Linked DNA regions of Kluyveromyces lactis. The protein of the gene in region 1 purifies or fractionates together with the protein of each later gene. This does not show direct contact. Links are inferred from orthologs where the notes say so. Each region holds a gene or a part of one and is shown in the gene's direction. Other genes may lie near its edges.

Region 1 (3,891 bases):
CACACTATTGCAGTGTTTTTGTCTTTTTTGAGGAATTTCAAAAGCTTTTCCACTTATGTCTGCTCTTCATTAACGGAGAATGTCGTCACATAAGCCGAGTGCAATCAGAACCCTTATTTTTTGCTTTTTGTACGCTTTATTTACGACCGTTCCTAATACGGTCATGAAGATCGAAAAAAAAATATGCAAGATTATTTCTAGATTGACACAAAGGAGAACAAAGTAGCCATAGGAGCAGGTATAATACAATTTGATCAAATATTTTAATATATGGCTTGTGTTTGGTATCAATCTACTTGAAATTATATGGTGACTGCTACTATTCCTTTAGTTTGGTATGAAAGCTCAGCTTGAAAGCAAGAACAGTGAGTTACTTTCCCGCATGATATTTGGACTTTCGTCTCTGTTTCGTCGTTGGGAGAACAGTAATCTAACTAAAATGTTACGGAACTAATATTTAAAATTGAAACTTATCAATTGCTGATAGTGAGGCAATAAAACAGTGCTTGTACCGTGTATTGATAGGGGGGGCGAAGAATTACAATTTTCAAAATCACGTGATCTGGTTTTGTCTTACTTTTCATAGGAATCAATTCCAATCGAATGAGATTTTGATCATAAAACAGCTTTCAACAGTTTTACGCGTTTGAACAAAAGGATGAATATTCGAAGGGCTACCTTAATCAAGAGGGCAAATTCTTTCCAATTTGACCAATTTGACAACGAACATAACTAGTATTAGTTGAGAAAACTATTAGAAAACTTCTTTGGGTTCGTAGCTTTGACAGAAGGTAACTATGTCAGAACCCGATGACGTTGATACTGTGAAGGAGAGACTGGCAGAAGATAGGCAAAACATACATATTCAGAATGAATACCAGGATATTTCATACACAATCATTAAGGCAAGAATTGGTATGTTAGCCACGGCAATTGGAGGACCAGATCACTCTGTGGACTCCGTTAATCCACCTTATAAGGTAGGTGATGATTGCTTGGCTTGTATTAAGGATTTGATTCGTTGGTTCAAGTTAGTTGATGATAACCAGAAGAGATGGGATGTAGAAATGGCCACAGCTGAATTCAAGATCCTGCAGAATGATCTAATACCTATTCTATTGGATTGGGAGGCAAAAAATAGTGCTGCTACTAGGAAAAGTAAAAAAACAGGTGAAGATATCTCGATTTTCTTCCCGAATAAATCATATCATGATAGAATCGCTCTAGGAGCGTTGCAACTTATGGTGTTGATGACATGGCCCTTAATCATAACAGATCAGTCATCGTATAACCAAGTGAATTATTACTTTGAGCTGAAAAAGCATCAATTGCTGTATAAGCATGCAATTTTGACAACAGAAAACGGAAAGGTTCTCAAGGCAGCAATTAGATTAGCCCTGAACGTCATGAGTGTGGATGTAGATCATAGGACTGCTAGGGATGACTCTCTGATACGAATGGTTCTTAATTTTCTAAAAAATGTGGTGGCAATAGAACCAGGTGAAGTTACAATATCCAGTGTCAAAAGATTGAAGAGACCTTTGACTATGGCTGAAATGTTACCAACGAATATTACCGTTGATGATATTTCCATAAATAGTGTCATAACCGCATTTGATAAAAATAAAGTTTTTGGCTTTCTTCTAACAGTGGCTAGTTCTTTGTCAGACGCTGTTGACCCAAATTTCGTTAGTTGGCCGTTGTTAGAGGTCATGTTCTTCTTAACAAAAGATATTAACCCCATCCGATTGTTCAAAAACCAGAGAAAATCTTATAAATTGGGTACGGATCACGAGATTACAGACTCCAACATGACAACGTCAGGTAAACACCTTTCAGAATTACTTGCAAAGGAACATGAAAAGAAGCTTAATGTAATAAAGAATACTTCTTCTCGTCATTCTAGATTTGGCGGTTTATTGTCTATACAGACACCTCAAAATACGCGATTGACAATTGCTAGTAATTCTGTCAACATGCGTGATGATGCGGCATTACAAGAGTTAGACTCAAGAAAAAAATGGAATAAAACCATCACTATGAGACTCGATGTTATTGAAGGACTCAGTAGCAGCTTTTTTAGTACTGAAGGTAATTCTATTTACATGTCTTCTGACAACATTACTAGCATAAAAGAGTTTTTGGCAGATTTTGTTGATTCCAGTTTCAATTTGTTATTGCAAAATGCCACAGATAGTTTTACGAGTGAAATTCAAGATCAATTACCATTGCATAAGATTGAATACATGTTATTCATTTCGTGGTTTGTGAAATTCCAGAGATCACGGTGCATTTATGAAATTGATGCTACACCGGATTATGTCTCAGGCGCATTGTTAGATGAGTGTTACATTCTCTTTACAAAATATTTGAGAGAGAGTTATGAACAAAAGAATTGGCCAGTGGTCCATGCGGGTATGCTATTGTTCACGGAATACTTGGAGTTTTTATTATCTCTCGACCAATCATGGGAGGCAGATGTTCAAGCTGTGATAAGTAAGATTTTGAGCGAAAATATGTTGCAGCTATTGGCATCTCTCCCAAAATCTGCAACCAGTCATTCTTCACAATATGTTAAAGCTTGCATTAATTTAACACATGTGGTTTTGAAAACAATTGATAAATTTGATGAGAACAGCTCGTTGACTGTGGAGTCAAAAAGGAAGCGTAAGGTGAACCTTAATCACACAGCAATTGAAAAGTATGCAAAAGATAATGATTTAGACTATGAATCAGCCTTTGATATATTAGAAGAACAATTTAAACAAGTGACCATAAACTTTGATAAGGTTTTTCGCGGATATCTGACAGAACCAACGATATCAACTTACATCAGATATCTACAGTCTTACAAAGAACTGGAGGACAAAGACCTCATAAGGGTTCTAAAATTCTTTCAGAGAGTGTTTGTCAAAGCGAAGGAAGAATTATTTCTATTTCGAATTGACTTCATGATATTATGTCGAGAAATTCTAAGTCAACAAGGTCTGCCTACAACTTCTGAGCTAAGAACTCATTTCACAAAATTCAATGAGTACTACCTTAAGCAGCTCAAAAATAAACTGAAGAAAATGCCTTCTTTGTACATCAATATATTGTTCCCAATGCTCCATGACTCCCAAATATCATACTATATGAGACATGGAAAGATGAAGTTGACTGAAGGTACTCCTGACATAGTATTGCCCAGCACATTTATCAATATTCCAGATGAAGGCTCTCTTCCTAAAAAAGTTTTGTTAGATATGCAAGTTGGAATCTTGGTTTCTAGTCTTATCGATGATGGATATGAAGATTTGATTGAAGCTTTGTTGCTTAATTTACAGTCAAGTTTCGATGGATTGAAGGGTAAGGTAGCAGAAGGCATCAATTCACTAGAAGAGGAAAGAGTAAAAAAAGTTGCATTCAATGCTACTAATTCTGAGATAAAGAGGGCCTTATACCAACAGCCCGAATTCAGAAGGCTTTTAATCCTTGCTGGTTTTGCAATTCCGGAAGCTAATCAACCTGCTTGCTATTTCATTAATAATAAAACTCCTACTGAGGTCCAGTTGGTAATTGAAACTATACAAAAGCACAGGTCTCTTCCATTTGAATCTGAAATTGGAAAACCAGCTAGTTATTATTTATCGTCACATTATCAAGAGTATGAAGACCCTGAAGAATACGGATCAGATTTAAACAATGGAAGTTACTTCGAAGATTTAGAAATCATGGATAAGCGAACAGAGGGACGCGAGCTTTCAAAAGGAAAAGCGCAATCCAAACTTGTTCAGAGATCCAAAGGGAAAAGAAAGGCAATTGCTCATCATCCGGAAGAAAATGAATCAGATTTTGAAGCAAATGCAAGCAGCTCCACCAAGCTTCCAGTCGTTAGTAAGGAGTATATAA
Region 2 (3,933 bases), on another chromosome or scaffold:
GAACTCTGTCCCCTTCACAGGACAACCACAACTAATACCTCATTCGGGATCTCAAAATACAGCTACTCATTTACGCAAATGTACACAACCATTCGATGAATTCTCCTCATTGAACAAATCACCAGTTGAAGATGCAGCTTTGGACACCGTACGGTCTATCTCATCCCAATCCTCCCATGAACATACTGTTCTCCATAAAGAAATGAACTTCATATCTACCGATCAAAAGTCACAAATAAATCCTGATTGGGAAGTACTCCCCCTCGACATCGAGCAAGCAGGCATGTCTATGGAAGAAGAAGTGAAATTCACGAATAACTCGAATGAACCTAAGATTAATACTACTTTACAAAGACAAATGAATGAGTACGCTCTGGGTGAGAGGCACTTCAGAGAAACTCAGCAATTCATGAACTTTTTCAATTATACTTACAATTACCAAGAATGATTGAATCTTTTTCCATTCGGCTTTTCAGTGGACCTATGTCCACATTAACATTTTCGGTTTATTTTATCTGGTTACATTTTTTTCTTTTCTTTCGATTTTAGATTCATTTTCACTTCACCATTAATGCAACTGACTGTCAGGGGGGCTATTTTATCCCTGGCCAGCTTTCTAAAATCCTCGCGTCCATATACTTATATCGCTTAAATAAGATGAATTCTTACCTACGTATCATTAATTTTTATTATCAATTCACCGATGTTTTATCTTCTCCCTATCGAATCAAAAAGAAAAAATTCCATTAAATTGAACTTTGCTGCATTGGTTATCGATATGTTATGGTCGATAGTCAATGGTTTTCCTCGTGTTATACCTCAGTTAACTAATTTTGGATACTTGCAATACCTCTTTAGGAAAAGTAATATTGAATCGCCTTAACTCAGAAATTAAAAAAATGATTTTACATGTTGAAACACTTAAAACATGATCTTCAATGTGAAGGGCATCCAGGTTGAACGGCTCATCCAAAACCGGACATAGTTGGAGCAAGCTGAAAAAATCAGCAACAATGTCGGCACCATCAAGTCCTTTTCAACATGGTCAGCAATCATCCCAGCCTCCCTCTAGTGTAGGTGCTTATGATAGTTCACAATTCGATGATCAGTCGTTAGGAAACAGAACTCCCCAGTTTCCATCTTCTTCCAGAGGAGTGTCAGATGGAAATAGACATTTCGGTACTGATGACACTAGGCAAGGCATTAATTCAGAATCACAAATAGAGGCTATGGAAAATGATTCACAAGAAATTACTCCATTAGCCGGGATCAGGCAGAAAAACTTGAATGCCATCAAAAAGGTTGATGATAAAACTGGTGAAACTGTAAGAGAGGCATTCGAACATTTCTTGTCAAATTTCACCGCCCTCAATGATGAAACAGGTGAGATGGAGAAGGTTTATAGAGTCCAAATTGAATATATGAGATGGTACGAATTGAATACCATATACGTTGACTATAAACATTTGGCCGAGGTGGAAGACGGAGCTTTAGCGGTTGCTATTTTACAACAGTATTACAGATTTTTGCCATTCCTTTTATCTGGGCTAAGAAATGTGGTGAAGAAGTACGCTCCTGGATTATTATTAACATCTGACTCTGTACTTCCTTCTCAATCTCAAGAGAATTCTCAGGACCGCTCTTCGCAAAGAATAGATTCATCTTTGCCAACTTCGCAGGCTGCCACCGCAGGAGGCACTGCCCCATCTACCATTGCCACTAATCCAGATCAGGTTGAACGTGTTTTGCAAATCAGTTTCCTGAATCTCCCAACTGTCCATAGAATCAGAGATATTAGGGCTAATAAGATTGGTTCTTTAATGGCTATTTCAGGCACAGTCACGAGAACTTCGGAAATTAGACCAGAATTATACAAAGCCAGTTTTACATGCGAATTGTGTCGAGCTGTTATTGACAATGTGGAACAAGTTTTCAAGTACACTGAACCAACCTCTTGTCCAAATCCAACATGTGAGAACCAATCTTTCTGGTCATTAAACGTGAACAGGTCCAAATTCTTGGATTGGCAAAAGGTAAGAATTCAAGAAAATTCCAATGAAATTCCATCCGGTTCTATGCCAAGAACCTTAGATATTATTCTTCGTGGTGACTGTGTCGAAAGAGCTAAACCAGGTGATAGATGTAAATTTATTGGTACTGAAATTGTCGTTCCAGACGTTAGTCAACTTGGTTTGCCTGGTGTTAAAGCAAGTTCGACTCCAGATTCTAGAGGTATCTCACGGACAACGGAAGGATTGAACTCAGGTATTTCTGGGCTCAAATCATTAGGTGTTAGAGATTTAACTTACAAAATATCGTTTTTGGCATGCCATGTTGAAAATGTTGGTACCAGTTTCAATGGTAGTAGGATTAATGAGGAGGACGCCGATAAGACATCCAAATTTGATTATATTAACTTGAGAAACTATCAAAACTATGAAATGGCGGCAGAAACTGATCAAGAAATTTTCCTAACAAGGCTTGATTCTGACGAAATTAATGAATTAAAAGAGATGGTGAAAGATGAGAATATTTATGACAAACTGGTGAAATCGATTGCACCAGCAGTTTTCGGGCATGAAACCATTAAGAAAGGTATCCTTTTACAAATGCTTAGCGGTGTTCATAAAACTACTGTAGAAGGCATTAAATTGAGAGGTGACATTAATATTTGTATCGTTGGTGATCCGTCCACCTCAAAATCTCAATTCCTAAAATACGTCTGTAACTTCTCTCCAAGAGCCGTTTATACTTCCGGTAAAGCATCTTCAGCGGCTGGTTTGACTGCAGCTGTGGTGAAAGATGAAGAAGGTGGTGATTTCACTATTGAAGCTGGTGCGTTAATGTTGGCAGATAATGGTGTTTGTTGTATCGACGAATTTGACAAGATGGATATCGCAGATCAAGTTGCTATTCATGAAGCCATGGAACAGCAAACCATTTCGATTGCCAAAGCTGGTATTCATGCAACATTAAATGCCAGAACTTCAATTTTGGCTGCCGCTAATCCCGTCGGCGGTAGGTACAATAGGAAACTGACTTTAAGATCTAATTTGAACATGTCTGCACCAATTATGTCCAGATTCGATTTATTCTTTGTCATTCTTGATGATTGCAATGAGAAGATCGATACTGAGCTAGCTTCCCACATCGTAGACTTGCACATGAAGAGGGACTCTGCTATTAATCCACCATTCTCAGCAGAACAATTGAGTCGTTATATCAACTATGCCAAGACTTTCAAGCCGGTAATGACTAAAGAAGCTCGTGACTACCTAGTCAAAAGATATACAGAACTAAGGAAAGACGATGCGCAGGGGTACAGTAAATCTTCGTACCGTATAACTGTCAGACAACTGGAATCATTAATCAGATTAAGTGAAGCTATTGCTCGTGCTAATTGCGTGGATGAAATTGTTCCGAGCTTTGTCGCTGAGGCGTACGATTTGTTGAGACAGAGTATCATCCGTGTTGATGTTGATGACGTTGAAATTGAAGATGACGATAACTCCCCAGAAGAAAGTACGGAGGGTGAGGGCACAATACCTGCCACACAACACTTCGGCGAAACACTTGATACACAATCTCAGTCACCTTCTCAACCACTGAACGCCGACTCCGAAACGGGGGGTGGTCCTGACGTAGAGTCTCATGACAACGCTCATCACACAACACATAAAGTCGCAATATCATATGATAAATACGTGGAAATGATGAATCTAATTGTACGGAAAGTGGTTGACAGAGAAAAGAATGAAGAACCTGAAATGACAAAAACTGAGATAGTAGATTGGTATTTACAACAGAAAGAAAACGACATCAACACCGAAGCAGAATATTGGCAAGAAAGGAAATTGGCATTCAAAGTCATCAAAAGATTGGTAAAGGACAGGGTCTTGATGCAAATACATGGTCAAAACGACGATCTATCTG

Evidence for each region.
Region 2: the proteins of TOF1 (region 1) and MCM6 purify together in Saccharomyces cerevisiae (affinity purification with mass spectrometry; 3 studies listed by BioGRID, with this or other methods). This does not show direct contact. The link is inferred for Kluyveromyces lactis from reciprocal best matches to the Saccharomyces cerevisiae genes TOF1 and MCM6.

What each region holds. Positions count from the first base shown.
Region 1 is NC_006039.1:188,286-192,176, forward strand, and holds the start of TOF1 (Tof1p), read left to right. Parts: upstream 1-797; coding exon 798-3,891. UniProt on the Saccharomyces cerevisiae protein: Forms a fork protection complex (FPC) with CSM3 and which is required for chromosome segregation during meiosis and DNA damage repair. FPC coordinates leading and lagging strand synthesis and moves with the replication fork.
Region 2 is NC_006042.1:935,710-939,642, reverse strand, and holds the start of MCM6 (MCM DNA helicase complex subunit MCM6), read left to right. Parts: upstream 1-1,013; coding exon 1,014-3,933. Other genes in the region: KLLA0_F10109g (C2H2-type zinc finger protein), read left to right, coding at 1-448. UniProt on the Saccharomyces cerevisiae protein: Acts as a component of the MCM2-7 complex (MCM complex) which is the putative replicative helicase essential for 'once per cell cycle' DNA replication initiation and elongation in eukaryotic cells.